Lepisosteus oculatus: one gene and its partners. The protein of the gene in region 1 purifies or fractionates together with the protein of each later gene. This does not show direct contact. Links are inferred from orthologs where the notes say so. Each region holds a gene or a part of one and is shown in the gene's direction. Other genes may lie near its edges.

Evidence for each region.
Region 2: the proteins of g3bp1 (region 1) and stau1 purify together in Homo sapiens (affinity purification with mass spectrometry; 3 studies listed by BioGRID and IntAct, with this or other methods). This does not show direct contact. The link is inferred for Lepisosteus oculatus from reciprocal best matches to the Homo sapiens genes G3BP1 and STAU1.
Region 3: the proteins of g3bp1 (region 1) and fxr2 purify together in Homo sapiens (affinity purification with mass spectrometry; 3 studies listed by BioGRID and IntAct, with this or other methods). This does not show direct contact. The link is inferred for Lepisosteus oculatus from reciprocal best matches to the Homo sapiens genes G3BP1 and FXR2.

Annotation. Positions count from the first base shown.
Region 1 is NC_090706.1:36,004,429-36,011,613, reverse strand, and holds the start of g3bp1 (ras GTPase-activating protein-binding protein 1), read left to right. Parts: upstream 1-4,167; 5' UTR 4,168-4,266; exon of another isoform or gene 4,267-4,339; intron 4,340-6,569; 5' UTR 6,570-6,591; coding exon 6,592-6,686; intron 6,687-7,185. UniProt on the Homo sapiens protein: Protein involved in various processes, such as stress granule formation and innate immunity. Plays an essential role in stress granule formation.
Region 2 is NC_090711.1:9,427,045-9,434,149, reverse strand, and holds the start of stau1 (double-stranded RNA-binding protein Staufen homolog 1), read left to right. Parts: upstream 1-4,071; 5' UTR 4,072-4,269; intron 4,270-7,045; 5' UTR 7,046-7,105. Other genes in the region: cse1l (exportin-2), read left to right, coding at 1-61, 715-804. UniProt on the Homo sapiens protein: Binds double-stranded RNA (regardless of the sequence) and tubulin.
Region 3 is NC_090698.1:11,918,130-11,925,875, forward strand, and holds the start of fxr2 (fragile X mental retardation syndrome-related protein 2), read left to right. Parts: upstream 1-4,712; 5' UTR 4,713-5,229; coding exon 5,230-5,280; intron 5,281-7,746. UniProt on the Homo sapiens protein: mRNA-binding protein that acts as a regulator of mRNAs translation and/or stability, and which is required for adult hippocampal neurogenesis. Specifically binds to AU-rich elements (AREs) in the 3'-UTR of target mRNAs.

The DNA of each region.
Region 1 (7,185 bases):
AAAAACCGATTACAGAGAATTCCAACGGCATTCCAGCTGTCTGCGCTGGCTGAAATGATGGGAAACGTTTTGTGTGTTCTGTTGGCGAAACCGAGCTATTCCAGCTTTTTTCACATCTTGGGATATTGTTCTCAATGCAAAGACAACTAGCTTTTCCACAGAGAATAATGAATCTGGCCAAGACTTGCTGTGAACTGCCCTGCAAATTTAATAGTTCTCGGGAATAGAATTAAGCAATTGTTTTCCTTCGACTCTTTCAGCATTTCAAGAAGAATGCCAATATATATCACACAAATATACAAGTATTAAACTAAGATCATACCTTTTCCACTAGCGGGGGGATAGGAAGCCCTTAATATTTTGATCTTTTCCACTTGGCAACAAACACATCCACAGGAATGTCTGCCATGGACCGCTTCAAAATTTAATTTACATCACATTACCGTGGCACTAATTAACTTCAAGGGGAGAGAATGTTGCCAAGTGGAAGTGAAGAAGCAGAGTTATATGTATAATTTTTCACAGTCGTATGGCCGGTCTTATACAGAACCAGCTACTTTTGAATGAATTTATTTATCATTCTAAATCAGGGATCTGCAGTCCTGGTCCTGAACAGCCTTAGTCAAGCAAATTATACCGTCCTGTTCGCATGTTACTGTCTCCCGTGTAAGCAACTGATTAATCCAATTAAGCCTTTCGCAGCTCAGATAGGAAAGAAAACACTGATTTTCTGTCAATCAGGATATGAGACCCCTATTTCAAACAAATGTTGTTAATGACATTTAAAATACTGTACTAATACAGACATACGGAGGGAGTCATCGCCAGCAGCCATATCACCCTGCAACTCACAACTGGCAACCCACTGAAGCTAAGCAGGTGTGAGCCTGGTCAGTACCTGGATAGGAGACCTCCTGGGAAAAACTAAGGTTGCTGCTGGAAGAGGTGTTAGTGGGGCCAGCAGGGGGTGCTCACCCTGCGGCCAATGTGGGTCCTAATGCCCCACTATAGTGATGGGGACACTGTACTCTTAACAGGCGCTGTTCTTCGGATGAGTTGTAAAACTGAGGTCCTGACTCTCTGTGGTCATTAAAAATCCCAGGGTGCTTCTTGAAAAGAGTAGGGGTGTAACCCCGGCGTCCTGGCCAAATTTCCCATTGGCCCTTCCCAATCCTGGCCTAATAATCCCCCTCTATGAATTGGCTTCATCACTCTGCTCTCCTCCCCACTGATGGCTGATGTGTGGTGAGCGTTCTGGCGCACTATGGCTGCCGTCGCATCATCCAGGTGGATACTGCACATTGGTGGTGGTGGAGGGGAGTCTTTGAGTGGAGTGTCCAGAAAAGCGCTATATAAGTGTAAGCAATTGTTATTATTTAAATTAAAACTAGACCGGATTCTGAATACTTTGAAGTGACAATAGGTTTCAAAACTTTCGGATCAAAAAATGGTGTACCCTGCCCTCTGCTGGACAGTCTATGATACAATTACTGTAGTTACACTGATGCTCCTTGGATCTGCCCTGCACTTACATATTACTCTTTTGCTGTTTATTTCTTGCTGTTGATACAAGAGTCATCCTCAAATAAAACAGAATATCCATTTTCTGCCTGCTTCATCCAATTCAGGGTCAGCAGGGAAGCCAGAACATCATATAACCATGTATCATCTAATAATGTCCATGTCAGAAATGCCTCCTATAACATTAGAAGGATTAAATGCCCCCCTTTCAAAACTCAGTATTAGAGGTATAACAGCTCTTGCATTCATAATGCATTCCTTGTCAAGGAAATATCCACAACACGCACAGGCTGAGGAAAAACTAAGCATCAGCATCAAAGAGGTGGGAGTGTTACTAGAAGTTAAGATGAAGAGATTTTAATGTCTTGTTGGAATTCCACCAATTGTACGATATTATTAAATGAGAGATATTATTTATAGACTTAACAAGCCTTTGAAGGGCTGCTCAAGACATATCAACTGGATGGAAAATTGCTAATATAGCACATTTCGCCAAAAAGGGAGAAAAAAACGGACTCAAGTAGTTGTAGGCCAATAGTGTCAGTTACTGTATGTAGACAGTATGTAACTCAAAAATGCCACTTTGACGACACTTTGTAGTCAACTACGCCGCCTTGCAATTTTAAGGGTGCTAGGGGCCTTTTTCCAGATTCTTTATATCTCTCAGAACTATCAGTGTACCCATAATCCAGGTAGGTGTAATTATCAGACATAATTGCTCCTTTTATTTCTAACGTTCTAGCAGTTACAATACCTATCACTGCCCACCCGACACACAGAACACATGACACAGAGTCTCCACAAAGTACCCTAATACTCACAGAGACACATGAACTCCACAGACCCCAGTTACCCAAACCCAATATCCCGAAAGAGAAGTCCAGAAACAGCTCTTTCCAGTACACTGGCATGCGGCATTCAGCCACAGAGGAGAAACTCTGTAGTCTTTCAGTGGTTTTAGGCTTCCTCTTCAGTCCAGTTGACCAGACCAATGTGGTGAAGATGATGGCTGAGTCTTCCTCTACTGCTCAACTCTGCAGTGTTTGAATCCTCCAAATTCTTCTCTATTTTCCCCATGAGTCTTCCTGAATGAAGCTTGCATTGTGATGATGTTATGATGTTACCTCAGTGTCCTGGCCTGGCCAAATTTCCCATTGGCCTTTACCAGTCTTGGTCTCCTAATAATCCCCATCTCTGAATTGGCTTCATCACTCTGTGATAATAATAATAATAATAATAATAATAATAATAATAATAATAATTATTATTATTATTATTATTATTATTATTATTATTATTTTTATTATTATTAACACAGGATCCATTATGATGGAAGGAAGTGTTCTTGTGGGGTGGTGTGTTGGCTGTGTGTCTAAGGATCTGTACCTGTGGCTGGAAGGTTGCCGGTTTGTATCTTGTGGCCGGCAGAGGAATTCCTACTTTATTGGACCCCTGAGCAAGGCCCTTAACCCCAACTACTCCAGGGGCGCCGCAGAAATGGCTGACCCCGCGCTCTGACCCCAAGCTTCTCTTTCTATGTGTCTGTGTGTCTCATGGAGAGCAAATTGGGGTATGCGAAAAGACAAATTCCTTTTCCTTTTCTTGACAAAGTCAACATGGACTTAGAAAGGGTACAGTGGGTTACGTTTTTTGAGATCTTTGAGGAAGAAACAGCAGTACTGCATATGATTAGAGAATACGATATGGTGTATTTTGGGGACCAGAAAACAGAACTGTATATTTGGAAAAGAAAACTCAACACTCAAGTTGAATGTGTTTGATCAAATGTTTTAAACATAGATGTGAGACAAAATCACAGGAAATGAAGTCAATCAAGTAAAACTATTATCATTCTTTCAGTATTACGCATGCCATACTGTACTGTCAAAACGAAAAGATTCCAAAACTGGATAAGGGTGTGTACAGACACAATTGTAGTAGTAGAACAAAGACTGTTGCAATTGCACTGAGTAAATGAAAATCACTGTCATTGTTTTTAACTTTTATTGATTGTTGAATTGTAAAAGACCTTCAATTGTATCAATTGGAAAGTATGCAAATGTAATTAAAGGTGAATGCAATTGATGATTAATCGGATTACATTTGAATTTCGATACGTAGACTAAACTGCAACGACCACAAACCCAGGCACACGCATTCATCCATTTTCTCATTTGGTTTGCCCATCACATCTAGCGTGTTCAAGTTAGTGGTCACCTAAACAAAAAAACTCCCGCCTCTATCGGCACAGGGCTTCCCGGGGCTTTTCACAGGGGCCTCTTGTAATACAGCACTCCCTCTTTAGGCGAAAGCCCCAATCCTTGAACGGTTGGCCAGGAAAGGGACAAACCATTGCCCACAACACCCGCTTATCAAGCGAACAAGCCTGCCCCTCTCGCCTGCTTGCTTCCTTACAACGCCAATCTACTGCAGACGTCCTGTACGTATGCGTTTCCGCCGACTCTGATAGGCTGGCGCAGCTGCGGGCGAAGGCAAAGCCCCTTCCGCCTTCCGCGGGTCTTGGCCAATGGAGAAAGGCCATCGAACGCGAATTCCGACCGCAATTGGCTAGAAGTGTTCGTCTGTCGGATGTCTTCTCTTCGATTGGCTGCGCGAATCGCAAGGCTAAACTCTGATTGGCCTGTAACATACTGGGACGGGAGTCAGGTTAGGGTGTCACCCGAAGGCATTTGAAGAAGCCGGTTGAGCACGCCGTGAGGCCGCCAGAATATTTCTAGCTACAGGGTGAGAGTCGTGGTGAATATATACATTTTCAAGTAAACTACGGCTTAGCCTTTGTTATAAGATACCTGTTCAGGTATGTTGGATACATTTTATTCAAATGTAGATTTTTTTTTGTTTTAGTGGTGTCGTTTGGTCACCTTTTAAAATCTTGCTGTGGTGTAGGGCTGGTTAGTGCCGGGGAAGACCTTATTTCGATGGAAAAAAGCAGAGGTTGATAGGATATTGGCGGTGCCAGGTTCCATGCTGTTAATATTAGGTGTTTTATGTCGAGTATTAATGAGTCATGAGAAAGGCCGGTCGAGTAATGGCTACGTATCGTGGTGTATTTATAGCCACATGTGTGCTGCATTACCTTGTTAGCTTATATATAAAAACTTGTTGGTTTATTAATGTAATGGCATCAATGACACGATACGTCTTGTAAACGACGTTGTGAATTACAGTCGCCGGGAATGGTGTAATTCGTGTCTGAAATAAGCGGTGTGAAATGGTGTCGGTGTTTCTGGCTGTGAATGATCTCAGGAGCTCTGACGCAATCTGGGCCCTGTAGCATTAGACCGCATTAGTCAGTTTAAAAGTGATCGTTTTGTGTTTTCAGCTGTACACAAAGACTGCCTGCATTCTGTTTTTAGCATATCGCCCTTTGAGTGGGCATGTTTCAGTAAATTAAGACGGTCAGGGGGCAGCGAAAGTACCGTTTTTATGTTGCTGGCTGAGGATGGTGTTATTTAATATCGAAATGGCTTAAACATCGCCGAGATCTTATCATGTAGGTTTGGGATGTCGGTGGTTGTTTTAACACAAGTTCGGGGGATTTGGGTGTGGATGTGCAGGTCTCAAATGATCACGGCTTGCCGGAATTGAGAAACCTAGAGTCAACATCATAAAATCGCACACCGGAATACGATCTCAATGCAGTAGTTCGGATTCATTATGAGTTGAGAATATTTTTGGAAGTCGAGGAAATGCTAGAAATGTGCCGATGAGGCGAAACGTTTTTTTTTATAGCCATGTGCCAGGTACTGGCCGGCGTTAGCTTCGTTTCCAGGCGCTTTGTTAGCAGCGAATGGCTTCTGAAGTGCGGAAATGTGAGCGACACAGCCTTCTGCGTACATCTGTTCGCTGTCTTATTTCCGATCAGCCTTTTCTTCGACTGTCGTTCGTCTCTCCCATCCTTTTTTTTTTTCTCTCAACGCATTGCGAAACGGGCGAAGTCGCGCCCTCAGCTCGCCAGCTCCCCCAGGTCATTGCAGCGGAGCTTTTCGGTTGAGCTCGGCTTCGGTTTCCTCGCCGGCGTGAAACGTGCTCCGCCTGAAATGTCTGACAGTCCGCAGGCTGGGCTTTGTCTGGCTCTGTGGAACTGCGCTGGTGTCTTGACTCCAATGCCGAGGCCTGGTTTGATTGAGGTTGGGCATTTACCTTGTGCGAAGCAGCAGCAGCAGCCTAGCTAGCTGTGGCGGTGCTAAGTTAGGTTAATGGTTGCTGAGCTAGTCTATATATGGGTGTAACTCTCAGCATTCCAGTAGATGTTGCTGAACCAGTCCCCTCTTGGGTGAAGCCTCGAGGTGCCTGCTACAGCCTCATCTGAGGCAATGATCAGACAGGGGATTGATGTTGAGGCAGATGGTATGGGCCGACCCCAGCAGGTGGAGTGTGCAGCCAGCCTCATCCAGTCTGTCTCCCTCTCTCAGGCCCCGGTTTTGTTTTAGACCACTGCTGTCCTCTAAGGGCAACCAGAGACGCAACGAGGTTGTAGGATTTCATGGGAGCCCGTTTGTCAGTAAGCAGATGTGAAGTGCGGAGGCAGGCATCTAGTTTTAAAATGGAGTCTGATCTCAAAACACAGCTGAATGTTAGCTGTGGAAATTGGGTGTTCCCTTGCAAATGGGTGCAGTTTTGCATTTGTAGACAATCATTTGTTGTTAACACCTGCTAGAGCTGTGATATAAATAAACGCTTTCGTTTATTGTCATCCAAGTGCTGCCTTTTTGATATGTGATTTTAAGTACTTTTGTTAGTCTTAGTCTTAATGTTTCTTAACATTAAGCCTGCAAGTAGTGAGTAAGCAGTTCAAAGAATGATCTTGAGAGATTGAGGCAGATGTAAGAGGTATATACTGCAAGAAATGTCCTTGATGGGAACAAATGGGTCTTTGACTCTTGGTTTATTCTGTTTCTGAGATTACTATACATTTGTGCAGTGTGAGATGCTCATCTTCCTTAGAAGAATTTGTAATAATCGGTGGTTATACATGTTTTGTTTCCACTCTCCAGAAAGTGTTAAGAGATTTTGTTATGTTGCAGTCTTAACCAGCTGACCAAAGAAATGGTGATGGAGAAGCCAAGTGCCCTGCTGGTCGGGCGTGAGTTTGTCCGACAGTACTACACCCTTCTGAACCAGGCGCCTGATTTCCTGCATAGGTATGTTTTTGCGACCTAACTTTAAGATACCTCATCACTTTCAAACTGAATGGGAAAACACAGTTGCAATGGATTGTTAAACGTTAGAACTGTCAAGCCTTAATGCTAATATAGCTTAAAATTAACATTTAAAGCCCACTTAAGTTTGAAAGTGTTTTCTGAACCTCCTGTTAGGATTTAAAAAAAATTGTGAGATATTCTATCCGCTTAAGTGCTTTATATTATTGGGTGGGATTAATTGAATCAGTGCTGACTGCTCATTGACTGGAGCAGCCCTCAGCACATCGGTGATGGATCTGTCATTGCTAGTCAGGACAAGATTGCAGCATTTGTACAGCTGCACACTTGTGATCAGTGGCCACAGGGATGCTCACTTCAGCTGTTTTCAGCGGTTGAGACAGGCGCATGAGGAAAGCACATTTTGTATCCTTTCTCACTGAACATGAAGTGCTGTCCTATTTGTAAGCCGCTTATGTAAAAGTTGAAAATAACACTCTTG
Region 2 (7,105 bases), on another chromosome or scaffold:
CAATCCCAAAATCCACCTTGCACAGTCTCTCCACAAGCTGTCCACAGCGTGCCCAGGAAGGGTAAGTGACCACAGCTTGGCTTCCACACGTAGCAGAAGTCTGTGTTGGAGTTGATGTAGAGCTATGTGGGACAGGATGTTTGCGCTCCCGGCAGACACAATGAACCCAGTGTACTAATCAATTTCCCGTCCTTAAAGTCAACTGAGCATTTCACACTGGGTGTTCCTTTATGGCACGAAGCTCTCTTTGCAAAGGCAAGTTTGTTCCACACTTTTTTTTTCCCCCATTTAATAAGTTTTTTTATAACTTCTTTGAAGTTTTTTCTTATTGTATTGAAGCTGTTTATTTCAAACGTAGGTTGTGACTAAGAATTCAAGAAGCTAACAACTTTAAATAGTTTGATTGCTTTAAAGCTAGGTTATTTTTTGTCAGGGTTTCATGGCAGTCCACTGTTAAATGTGTAGTGCTCATTAAAACCTCTTTGTCAAAAGGGCTATTTAATACTTATTAAAATAAGACTTGCCTTATTTAACATAAAGTAAATAGAGTATATGAGGGAGTTCTGTGCATATTTAATGTAAACAAATTGAAGTCTTTTTTTTCCAGAAGGGTTTCCAAGTATATTTCATAATCCAGTTCAGGTGTATAAAACTTACACGTTTTATTTTTTCGTTCTCTTTGAAAGAAGAATGTGATTATTAATGTTTTTCTAGGTTCCCTCTATGCTGAGCACAAGCCTGAATGCTGAAGCACTACAGTTCTTGCAAGGCTATCTCCAAGCAGCAAGTGTCCAGCTCGTGTAAGACTTAGGACCCTGAAATCAAATCATTGAAAACCTGCTGAGGACAATAAGGCCAGGATGAGAATTACAGAAGGTCGCAGGAATCATCAGCAAACTTTGTGAACCAAACTCCTTTATTCTCTCACCAGATATTGATCTTTGACAGAAACTTTTAAGGATTTTAATTTGGTATTTCCAAAAATATCATGAATTGTCTTTAAGGTAAAAGTTGCAAATGTTGTGATCTAGAAACTCATACAGTGAAGTTTTACAGACCTCATTGGGACAGCTCTCGCATATAAGTTTCTTTGGACTGTTGTAAAAGCATTTTCTGTTACTAGTATCATTTTCTTTGTGTAAAAGAAGGTAGGCAGTTGAGTTTTCACTAACCTTCTGTTACATGCTAGAAAAGCTTTGTAGGAACTTTTTTCAAGGGGGATTTCTTCAAATGCTAGTCAGAATACCTTTTCATGTATAACTACATGAAATCTTATCAGTTTGCAAAGGAATAGAGAAACATGTTAATCCTGTGTATGAGCTATGAGTTCAAACAGATCGCAGTTGTCTTCTGGCCGTGCAACACCCTTGTTCCCATCCTGCAAATCCACGAGAGGACTGTGTTCATTTCAAATCTTCTTTTGCAGTTTTACTGTAGATCAGAGTTTTCTGAGAGCTCTTTGACAGCAGCATTTTTTTTATGCTTCCACCATTCTTCTAAACCATTTGTATCTTGTATGTCTTTATTTATGTCTTGTCTCTTTAGTTTCTCATGTTCCAAATGTGAATAAATAAAAAGCACTTGTGTATATTCAGTTTTTGTGTACTTGTGAACCTACAGTACATGTACTACAGTCCAGGACCTTGAAGGTAATCAAAGGTGGATGAAATGCTAAGTTTATAATCATTTGGTTACATTTAAGATTTCTTCAAAATGACTATATTGCCTTGATACAAAAATGTGTAATCTACATGCAGAGTTCTTTAAACAGTTGGTGTAGTTAAAGGATTGATCACCTAAAAATTACAAGGATATAGATTGTTGACTTATGGATTTGTCTTCTCAAATGGATGCCAACATTAATGCAAATTTTGAAGTATGACATTGCATATTTTGAAAGACTGAACTAAGTTATTCCTACCAACATTTAACAAAGTGTAATGAAAAACAGGATGATTAAAAACATGTTGGATTAAAACACTTGGAACATTCACTTATGAAAATCTCAAGTAACTATCACTCAAGTGATTTGGGGTTTTCTGAAGTGTACCAGTGAATTGGCTTGGTTCCATTTTTCTAGCCTTCAGAAATGAGAGTTTAAGAGTGCCCTTTAACACCTGTTGGATTGTGGCTTTTTGAGAATGGGCTTGTGCAACTACAGCATCAAAATGATGCACTGCTGTTATCTCTAACATTGTTAGATTTAAGGTTCTTTATGTCTAGGAAATACCAGGATAAATTGGATCCACAGCCCCTGTCCAGTTCTGAGTGACAGAGGTGGAACTGGTAACCACACCCTTCCCACAATGCTTGTCCCATTCTATTTGAGGGCCGTTGGCACAGTTTTCTACCCATAATTTTTCAGTCCATGGCTGTAAATGAGCGTGGTATCATCGAGCTCCATAAGAAGGATTGAGCAAGATTGTATCCAACAGTACATCAATCCATTGCTAACTTGCTTCTTTAAGGAAATCAATGCTGATCATTCCTTTTACTACAAATACAGTTCAGAAAATCTGTGTATACTTTTATGAACTTTAAGAAATTCTGAAGCACTGTACAATGTAATTGAATGTAATGAATTTTGGCAGCGCGTTCCAGTGTAGATGGGGAGCATACAAGAAGGCTTTGCCATCCGTTGTGAGATTCTGTGATCGAAAGATCTCAGGTTATGAGTTGGACTGGACACCAGTCCATCACAGGGCACACACAAGATGGACTCCCGCAGCAGGGTCAATTAAACCAATGCAAAGCTGTAGTGCAAGGCCAAAAACCTAGATGAAAGTGAGGAGATGATAAAAACTCCATGCTGATGGCACTGAAAGTCTGAATATGAACCCAGAGCCCCAGAGCTGCAAGGTAGCAATTCTGACTACCGTACCAACCCTCTACTTAACCAATATATCTAACATCATTTGGACCTAGACATTTCCAGGCCTCACACATGACCAGTAGTACCTGCTAGAGTAGTCCACCCTATATATCACTGGGAGCCTATTAAAAATTATACAAGACCGAAGGTAAGTGCTGATGCAGAATACATTTAGTTAGCACAAGTCTTAGAATTCCTGACATTTTAGCCCATTTACTATCATATAAGATTCTATTGGTCTAATATTGGTATGCATCATGTTTATATAGTATCAGACAGGCCAAGCACTGGTTCTAGAGTGAGCGGTGTTCTGCAGGCAGAAGGAAGTGACTTGTGATGTTCCTAACATGCACTTCTAATGACAACACGGATTCGGAAGCAAGTTTTCTGTCTTCCATCAGAGTTTGGATTTCAGCACCATTCACAATAACATGGAAGTCGTCTGTTCTATGCTGTTGATGTTGGGAGCCTAGAATTTCAGCCTAGTCGCAGTTTTGCTAAAGAAAGTTCAGCTGCTTCCATATGTTACCATCAAACACCTATAAAGCACAATAACAGCAGCAGTAGCATCCAATTTGATCTGGAATATATCTTCAATTACCATTGCAATGAAACCTATGACCATTATGACAAATGATCTAAGGGACACCATATATAAACTAAAAGATGAAGGCCCCAGCATTTTAGATGTTTCCTCATTATATTATAATACTCTAATGCTGGAATAATACATGCCTGAGTACCATGCTGATGAAAGCTCTGGACGGGGCTGGGAATGATAGCACCATACCCTTGAAAATACTAATTGAACATCTCCAGCAGTTAGTTCCAATTAACCCTCCAACCCAGGTCTCTTCGATAGTTTACGGTGCTTTGTGATACCATTATCAATATTTCACAGTATCGAAGCTGCAATTCATGAAGTCACAAGTTGTTTTCGGTCTTGAGGTATTCCAGTCAAGAGGGTGTTTTCACGCCCCCTATCGTCCAATAAAAATGTAGCATGTTAATAAGTAAGGAAGAGAACCGGCGTTAAATGATGTATAACATCGTTTATTAAAATTATGAACAGCCTGTGTTTTGCAGTCTTACAGTAACGTACACAAGTTATTCATGATATGGCTCGCATTTTTTGCAGCTCGTTATTCCTTCTCGATCTCTCCAGACCGGGGCACTTCCTGCGAGCCGGCTGAGGTCACTTCCGGAATGGGAAACCGAGGCTGGGCCATTCTCTTTAGTGTTTGCCCTGTTTGCCTTTTTCTCACCATAACACTAACATTTTAATAAAAAAATAGAAGAAAAATCCATAAAAGTGGAACAGATCAAATATAAATCTCACATACCGTAGCTCATGGAGTAAAGAAATCCTTAACTGCTGGACTGAAACATAAAAAGAGGTGAGATCTTGCAAGCTTTTTTAAATTTTTGATTTGCAATCACATTGTGTGCTCTGCTCCACTGTCTTGTGCTACCTTTTACCTTCAATTGAAACGCACGGAAAGCGTAAAGTTTTATTCGACGAAACATTCTTTCCCAAATCAACACATTATTTTTAAAATCCAGGTGGGGATTAATATGCTCGTTTCTGGTAGAGGTCAGTAGCTTTGTAAACCAAACAATAACATTCAACGATCTGGACGGTGTTGTTATTCTTGTTTTGTTTTACAATCGCATTGAGTACTACAGAGAAATAGTTGCGCATTTAAATGTGGTATCCAGAAACGTGGTCGATGCGGTTAAATATACTTTATTAGTGGGTTTTTATGTTTATGTGCATTTTTACAGCATTGTTAGGTTCCGTTTTGTAACAATACACCATGAATGAAGTTTTTTCTTAGAAACAGGTATATTTCTTTATAAGAATATGCTATACTCGTCCCCCTGTCGTGTCACTTTGCTGGCACTGAAGTAGCCAGATAATATTTCGGGGGTATTAAGGTGTCGTTAAATCTCACCCAGAAGTAACGTCATTTGCATTTGCCGCTTTGGAAAAAAAAATGCTAATGTTGCAGTTCTCTCAAACCATGTTTTCTTTGCTTTGGAGTACTTGAGCTTTCGAAATATTTTGGCGACGTGATTTCAACAAAATAACAAATTAAAGGCCACCACAACTCTTGTTTTCGCAGTGCACGGTATGTTTGCTGGTAGCTACAGTAGTGTCGGGAGAGGTTACGAATGCTAACGAGCAGGTCACGATTTTCTTGAACATGCCGTGATTGCACTTCAAGAGAATCGGACGATTGTCTGTCTTTATTTTTAAATGTCCATTGTTCAGCACTTTCGGTGTGTCCAGGCTTAGGTGAAGGATAGTAGGCCTCAGACCAGACCCTTACGATTTGGGAGAGAACACTTACGGTTTTAAATTGGTCTGGTCAATTTTAGACGCCTTCCGTGTCGTGAATTAAGCTGTTGTCCACCGTGAAAGCAAACAGGTTAGCGTGCATCTTCTGGTATGCGTAGTCGTCGAAAATAATATGTTTGGAGAGTGCAGGGGGTCGTCTGTCTACTTGGAGAAATCTTATTTGGAGTTCGTTTGTACGCGCCTCCCTCCTAATTTTAAAGTTAAAATGAACATTTTACATCTGGATAATTTTAAGTCTTTTGGTATTGAGCAAAGTCTCTAGGTTTACCATCCCCGCATTCATTAAAATTTGACGTGATGGATGGATTAGTCTTAACACAGATTGAATAGGGCTGGTATTTAGTTTTCGCAGTTTTTGTTTTTGAAAACACCTCAAAACAACACTGTATGTTCATCGGAGCTGTAATTATTAGTGGTCACGATTGTGGGAAATCCCAAAGATAAATATCAGCTTATAATGATTCTTGGCATTATAAACACAGTAATTTAGCTGTTTAAGAGGAAACACTGTTCATACAAGGGAGACACTTGCAGAGAGAAAGACCTACCATTTCAGCCACAGGGGTTGTGTGTCCTGGTTTAATTGAGATCTGCTAAAGTTATGTATGTGACACATCCAGGAATACACAGAAATCGCTTGTGCAGTGCACTGGGTCTGTCTTGATGTTCCTGCCATTCATTAAGGCTTTGGCCAAAAAATTGTTTTGGTAGTCCACAGTAACAATCTTTTTAATAACAGGAACAATTTTATTTTATATAGTGCCTTTCATGTTAAGACACCTCAGAGCTTCAAGAAGTCAAACGCACTTTTGATAGACTAGAGTTGTGACTTAAATATATAAATAAGTGGGGCTGTGATGTGATTTTGATCTCTTTAAAATAGTTTTTGCCTCTAACTTGCCTTACCTTTTTATTTCAAGCATATGATTCTCAATCAAGAGGTAGTTCTTATTGAAGTATGCTCAATACTTTTGGCTTTGTGCCTGACAGGTTATTAAAACTTACCAGAAAAGCATGTTAATGTTTTAGAATTCATACTGTAACATTCAGACATAAAATGGAATTGCAAAGCAAGATGATGCTGCTCATTAGTTAACATTTAAGATAGTTTTAAGATAAAAAGATAAATAATCTTCAAATGTATATAGCACTTTTCTGGACTCTCCACTGAAAGCGTTTCACAGGTAATGGGGACTCCCCTCCACCACCACTAATGTGCAGCCCCCACCTAGATGATGTGATGTCAGCCATAGTGCGCCAGTACACTCCCCACACACCAGCTATCAGTGGGGAGGAGAACAGAGTGATGAAGCCAGTTCTTAGATGGGGGTTATTAGGCCATGACTGGTAAAGGCCAAGGGGAAATTTGTCCAGGACACCAGGGTAAAACCCCCTACTCTTTTTGAGAAACTCCCCAGGGATTTTTAATGACCATGGGTAGGTAGTCAAGACCTCTGTTTTACATCTCAGCTCACAAAGAAGGACTTTGCTGTTTTGTTTTGCAGTATAGTCTAAAAAGCTTACAAATTAGTCACTTGCATGTGTGATATGTAAAGGCGACTTTAGATGTAATTAAACCCTGTTTGTATGTATGATGTGTTTACTCTGTGCTGTCGACCAGTTTAGTTTCTAGTTCTGCTAACTACATTTCTTTAAAAAGAATTAGACTGGATTCATTTTTAAAACCCAAACATTACCTAACCTCAAAAAAGAGCAAGATGTCCCCCGTACCATATGGCTATCGTTTTTGGATATAATCTTATCTGAGTAAGCATCCCACAGTACACAAGCTTTTGAATTATTTTTCCCAGGAAGAGCTTTGCTGGATTACTCCAAACTTGCGCTGAACCCCTGTGCTGCGTGCTGTGAAA
Region 3 (7,746 bases), on another chromosome or scaffold:
CCACTCCTTCCTTTACCAGTGTCATTATGATTTAACCCTCTTTAGTTTTACTACACACAGTAATATCACAGTAAACTCTTATAAGGGCATGAACAGAGGCCAGACAGCTGTGCTTCATCCATCTAAATTTAGGCACACTACAGATTGTGGAAGAAACTGCTGACTCATGTGATGAGTCACTGAGGATCATTCAGAAGAGGGGATCCTGGGTTATGAGGTTGCTAGAAGCTGGGTGAGCCACACAAAGCTGAACTATTCTTAAAGCCATCAGTGCTGGAGAGCCCTCAGCTCAGACGACCTCAGCCTGGGAGCCCCCTGTCAGGTGAATGGATAAGAATCAGAGAGACTCTGCAAGAAAGAGGAGCTGATTAAGAGCCATGCACCACTGCATCAGGGTATTAATTAGGCAGCTAATTCATTACTGTATCAAATTAAAACCAAATGAGCTATTTAATTGTCTTACTATGCATATTGTTCAGAAATTGAATGCAATTTTAAAGTACATTCATGATGTGTTGCTTTTTTAAAAAATTGTTACAAGTTGTTTTGGATAAACCAATTTTATTATAATAATTACACATGCAGGCTTCTTATTATATTCTTTATGCATTGCGTTTTTCATAACGTTATTGTGTTAAGCTGTTTTGAATAAAGATATCAACCAAATTACTGCTGCAACTTTTTAGTTATAGGAACAATATAAGAAAAGTTATAAGTAAAAGGAGGCCATGTGGCCCATCTTCCCTGTTGGGTTGTTGGTAGTATATTGTTCCAAACATCTCATCCAGTCATTTCTTGACTGCTTCAACAACATGGCTGGGCAGCTTGTTCCTCAATCCCATAACTCTTTGTGTAAAGAAATACCTCCTCCTCTTGGTTTTAAATACACTACCAAACTAAAATGTTCAAACTGAAAAGTTTTTAGAGTCATGTGTTTGATATTTGTATTAACCAAGATTAATTTACTGTAAAATGCAAAATCCATCTACAAAAAGTACAACTAAATAGGTATGATTGTGTGGATCTACAGTACAATGATTTAAAAATCTATGTGAAACGCATTAGGAAGGACTAAAATATTTCTGTGAAAATCCTGAAATCTTTAATATTTGTGAGCAAAGGCTGGACAGCAGAGGTCCCTACAGGTCATTTTATAACGTTAAAGAATTTTAGTGGATGCTTTGCATACTGTTTAAGGGAGTGAATGCACATGGACCTAGACTTGGTTTTAAAATGGTTTTAGAGTTGGTTTTAAAATAATGCTCCCCTGCGAAACTGAATTTTTGCTTGGAGAAATGTTTAAGCTGTGCTTCCCCAGAAGAGTGACACATATGGAGCGTGAAAAAACGCTGAAGCTGCTGTCCAAACACACCATTTGTAACAGAAGACGTACATGATAAAGATGGCCCACCAATTGTGCAGTCAGGGCAGGTGGTAAAAATAGCTCTCCCTTGTGACAGCTGAACATGTCACTTTGGGGTCCTCGGTGCCACACAGCTGTCCTGTCACCTGCCTGACGTCAATCACTGGGCGAGACGCATTCTGTGTTACAGGACAAGTGAGAGGGACCTTCCCACGGGAGAAAATGAGCTTGAGGGGACTGCGTTTTCACTTTCCTGCACATTTTAACCTGGTGCCCTTTATCTTCCTGGAAAATTAGCAAATCCACTCTAAAACTGTCTAATGGATTTAAGTGTCAAATATACACAATACATTTTGTATATATATATATGCAGCTTCATATCAAATAATCGGCAGACTGTATCAGACTCCAGTTAGCCCACTGAAATGTCTCAACTTTTGGTTGGTATTACTTGCTAGCACTGATTGTGGGTGTTCCATAAATTAAGACGAGGCTCCTGTGAGAGATATTTATATTTTAATAATCAATTAATACTTTTTTAAATTAATGATAAACCTTGTTTCCAACACGGGGTGGCAATAGTTGTGGTAGTAAAGGTATACATTATATAAAACCCTAACTTTTTAGGAAATATTCAGCGTCAGTTTTCACTAGGAAATTTAAATATTATGAATGTACCACAGATGGGGATTTTAAATAATAAATGTTTTTAAATACATAGATCTGAATGTATAATCTCTTTGAAATAATAATAATAATAATAATAATAATAATAATAATAATAATAATAATAATAATAATATATAAAAATCTGATTTTGCAGTGTTTGGACACATTTATATCCCACCAAGATGTGCTAACAAAGAAACCTGGACACTAGTCAGGCTCACTGTCTCTCTTCAGTTAAAGGCTATTAAAACAGCAACTACAAAAAGCAAAATGAACATCAAAAATGCTGCTAATAATACTAAAATACTGCTCTGTTTGGACAGTAGGACTTTGGAGAGACAGGTAATTATTAAGTTGGACTCAGCAGTGCTTTCCAGCAGCACAAAATACACCCGACACTAGGGGCAGGTGTGTTACAAGTCAACCATAGCCTTGTCTGTGACCACACATCAATAAAGAGCAATCAAGACTGGCACACCTCGATTCAAAGACTAAATTATCAGTATCCATTTCCTCAGACATTGCCCATATCCTGGCTGACACACATATAAAGGGATTTCATCTTGAAGTAGATGTGGGCTATGTGTGACACGAAGACTTGACAAGTGCTGACTGACGCTTTGTTTTCGGAAAGCATACCTGTTTATTCCAGACACAGTGCACAAAGAGACAATCCTTCAAGTCAGCTAAGAGGTGCAGACAGAGGCTGGCCACATGGTCATTCTTTGGGATTGGAAGGGGGTGCCGAGTTCTCCAAAACCTGCAGAGATCCGGTCACAAATTGACTGTCCGGTCCTGTTTTGGGTGATTTTATGAGCATTCAGTAAGTGGATCTACTGGGATATCTGTGGAGAAGCCAGATTATTAGAATCCACACATGTGCAGGGTTTATATCCAATAGTTGGCAGGAACTGTAATGGCAGTGCTCTCTTTCTTTGTGTAGCACAGGTGTCATGTGCTAGGGCACTCCCTCCTGTAACCAACAGCCATCTCTGGACATCTGACCATAGCAGTCAGGCTGAAGGAACTCAACCTCTTAAGTCTTGAACCCAGATCGATCTGAGTATTAGATGGATCCAAGAAACAGTGAAACTCAAACCAGAGGGAACTATTGGAAGTGCTGTTAAAACCAAGAACAAAAGGCACTTCTTTACACAAAGAGTGGTGGGAGTATGGTACAAGCTGCTCCAGACATGTTGTTGAGGCTGATACCCTTTTTTTCCCCCAAAACAGGTGGTTGAGATCCTCCAATCAGGCCTGGAAGCACATCTTCACACAAAGGGTGGTGGGAGTGTGGAACAAGCCTTCTATCCATGTTGTTGAAGCCAATACCCTGGTTTCTTTCAAGAAGAGGATGAAATCCTGGGATCATATAACTACAAACTACCAAATGTGCCAACTGGGCTCCTCTCTGGTCTTGTAACCGTTTCTATGTTCACTAGTCCACACAGACAGATGGAGAACTATGATACAGTTCAAGTAGGTACTGTAGCTGTGTCAGTATGTGTCAGCTGCAAAGGAACAAATAAAGGTTTATTTCATGTTGAATAGAGAAGAAAAGAAACACAACAAACACAAAGGTTGAAACGTTTTGTTTCTTTTCTTCTCTTTTCAGCATGGAATGAACCTTTATTTGTTCCTTTGCAAACTATGATACAGGATGTGCAGATTTTTTACTCTCGATTTATAAAGTCTTCCGCTGTGGTCTACAAAACCCCAGAAATTTACACTCCTGTTGTGTTGTAATTCTGAATGGGAAGATGGCATTTTTGTTACACCTCACACAATGAGATTCTGCTGTGCTCTGTGACAGCCCGCAGTGAGACCTTAGAAATATTTCTTAGCTTTTTCATAGGGCTCTGTTTGTTCGAGGGGAAAATAAATAAAACGGTCAATCAGAGGCAATGTCCAGAAATAAGAGTGAGCATACTTCATTCTTACCAAAGTCGCGACCTTTTTTTATTGTTCACATAAAAAAACAAAGCAATTCGTTTCTAGGACACTTCCAATATGTAATTGAAAACTGCTGTTTTAAAACGCTTCAAGTGCCTTTTATAAAAAAAAGACGGGAAACAATATGCGTTATATGAACGCCATAAATAGCTGTATATTTAACCTGATAATAAATATGATACATTTTCAGAACTTAACAATATTAAATAATTACGTTATTTACACATATATTTTTACATTAAAAGTGTTAAGCTTATTGTTTTATTTATTTATTTTAACTCGAAAGGGTAAATGTTTTCGAACCCTAAAAGTTTCTTTAGCACACAACGGATACACACTTACAAAAGATGTATATCCTGTGCAATAAATATAGATCATTATAATTACTCTTAAGTATTGTATTACCGGAACCATGCTTCATGAATTGCGCTTATTGACTGAGAATTACGGTAATGAAACACTCGACCATCTCTAGCGTCAAAGAATCAAAGGATGTACATGGAGTAACCCAATCACATCGAGAATACGCGCTGATTGACAACCAACATATCCAATAAAGAGAGTTGCAGAGTCGATTACCGAGGAGGGCAAGAGGGAGGGATGTGTAAGGAAGTTAGTGTGAAAAGGGAATTCTGTTGAAAGGCGTGGATCTGAGCCAATAGGAGAGGAGGGTGAGTGGATGGGCGGGCCGTGTGTGACGGAGAGGAGGGATTTGGGGGTCATTCAGGGCCTCACGGGCTCACTCTGTCGGCGTGCGGTTTGGGGGACGGGCTGTGGCGCTCACCTGCGGTAGCGCAGCCAGCTTCTGGGGAGGAGGCAAAACTACACTAAATACATTACAATCACCCCACTGTTGCCACCCATGAAAAGCTGAAGAGCACAAACGGACAGCGTTGCTTGCGTCGCCTTGAGCCAGCAGTGTCGGACCCCGAGCTCATCAGGAGCGCAGGCGGATTGCATGAGTTTCTCGTCCCCGGAGTGTGACTGCATCCGACCAGCACTTCGACAGCGTATTTAGCAGCGCCCAGATCCGGCGTCACCCAGAACACTCTCTCCCCCCCCACCCCCCCTCCCCTCACTTATCCCGTCCCTCTCTCCGTCTAAACCCCGGGACACTGGAAATCCACAAGCGGCCGGGAAGCGGCGGCGGCGGCGGTGGCAGGCCGGGGCAGCGAGGGGGTCTTCCGGAGTCACAGGGAGCCGGCGAGCGGGAGGAGCACCGGGGGTTCCGTGAGGCGGCGAGGATGGACGGCCTGGCTGTGGAGGTCCGTGGCTCCAACGGGGCCTTTTACAAGGTAACGATCGGAAACGCCAGGGGACGATCTGAAAAAGGGAGCCCAAGGCTTCTGTTTGTGTCGGATTGGGCGGTGATTTGCGTCCAGGCCCGCACGGCTCTTTGTATCTTTCTGGGGTCTTGGGTGTCTGGGGAAGGCTGGGGGGGGGGTGACCGCTCTTTCTGCGGGCGAGGTCCCGTCCTGGCCTCCTTTTCCCGTGCAACATGAAATCGGTAGCTCAAATCATTTCCAGCTTCATTGCGTTGGTTTTAGGTGACAGATCCTCATCATGGGAACGCGCTAGACCTGCAGTAGTTCCTAACCCGTGTTCCTACCGGCGATCTCGGCTTCACACCTGCGTGCCACGAAAAACACAATCCACATGGCTTCACTTTGCTGTCCGCTCGTAGCGGTGCGTTTCTTTTATATTTCGCCATGATATAAACAAAGCTTCGCCAAGGTGCGGTGGTTTCGCTTTGTTCTGCATTTACACCCGCAGATCAGCGCATCTTCATGTCGGAGAAGTCGGTCGCTCCAGGTTAGGTGTTCAAGAACTGGTCCTCTGGGGGAACGCCACTGGTTTTCTCCCTTAACTGCAGCTGTAGTCCTGGCGTCGGTCTCGTTTTCTCCTGTTTATACCTGGAAATACTGCTTTCAGCTCGTGTTTGGTCACCCCACCAGTTATCCCACTGCAAGGACTAAACCACAGACACTGGAAGCCTATTGCGAGACGCCAGTAGGGACAGAAGTTGCAACCTTTCACACTTCGTGTTGAAAGCCCATGCTTAATACTGCAATCTCAGCCACATGTAACACAGCGTCCTGAAACCACGTACTGGCACACCGCTGTAGGTATCGATAACTTATCGATAAAGATTCATACTGAAGTAACAGGCGGTGTCACATTGTGGAACATTCCCGTTTCTTAAGTGGAACTCTTTCAAGCAGATTGATATAGAAATTTTCTACCACCCCATGGTTTTGGGAGCTGAGAAGCACACGAGATAATTTCAGTATACAGTATTTTTGCTGTGAGGTGCCAGTATTCCACCATGTAGTGTAAATTCCTGAGTGGAGTGGCTTTAGAATTTGGTTTTTAAATTAAGATTTTGTCTCTGGTTTTGCCTCGCAGCTCCCAGACCATACTCTGACCTTGTGCCTTTGTTAACCTAGGCTCTTGTTCGTTATTTTGGACCGTTTAGACCGCCGATGTGGAGCAGTTTGATCCGTGACGGGTTTTGCCACCGGACAGTTCTTGCACATACCTGCGCTGGTCACAGAACTGCTTACACCAAAGTTTCCTCCAAATATGGGTGGCAGGCATGAAACATGGCCTGGTGTTGGATGACAGGAACTCAGAGTAAATCCTGGGAGTGGATTGCATCGTTCCAGGAGTGGGACTCTCCATGTCTTCCCTACTGCCTACCTCGTGTCATCTTAGCAGGTTGAGCTAATAAGCAGTGATGCTTAATTTCCTAAGGAAAAAAGCCTTTGAATGAGAAGGCTGACCTTTTCTAGCACTTTCTACACAATCAGCTCTGGATGTTTCTTGCCAATTTAAAATCCCACAATAGGAAATAAGGCCTGCGTTTCACCTCAAGTTCCGACTTTATACCAATTGTACCGATTCATCGGAAGCCAGTGCTCATCTTTCAGGCTGGTGTGAGCCCATGTGATGAAACCATTAAGAATGGTATCTGCTGGATCTTTCCGGCTCGGAATTTGGCAGTCCTGCAGTGGGGTGGAGAGCTTTATCCCCATTACCCTGTTGCCCTTAAACAGAATCTAGTGCCGAGTGAGTCCTGAGTTTTCAGGCCTGGAATAAAAAGGCAAGCGTCAGTTTGCAAGAGTACTTCTGTGATATCCTACAGAGAGCTTCAGAAGACTAACTTTCTCACTAAACAGTGTTTGATCAAGTGCTGCCATAATTCTGCATTAAAAAGTCTAGAAATGTACTTTTGTGGCAATGTTACTCTTGCTACTATTGTTGGTGTTAGAAATGGCAGTGAATTTCCCTGTTGGGGAAAAAAAATGGCTTTTATGCTCAAACTGTTCTGATCGTGTCATCGCAGAAATGAGTTTGCTGAAACTGCTTTGGGGAATTTTCCAAATCTGCTCCGTTTTGCGCTCCGGTTTCCCTTTTGCTTTCCTCCTCCTGCTCCGTCACTCTGTTCAAGTGATGGATTTTGCCTCTTGCAGTCTGCTCCCCTTGGTTTGGAAATCGGGCCTTGTGCCTGCAGGAAAGATGAAGCGATGGGTGGGGTGGATCTCAGTGCCTGTCTGCCCTGCAGTCACCGGTCTGTGCAGTTCTGGAGCGTTAATGCCCAGCCAGACCAGTCACTGTGGGTATTGATGTGGAATTAGGTGAAAAATCAATGTCGGGTCATTTTAAAGCGATCGCGGTGTCTCTTAGTGCTTCCCCTGTTACATTCTTGTTCTGGGCAGCTAACTCGTTCATTATAGATGCTCAGCGATGGTTTTGAATGT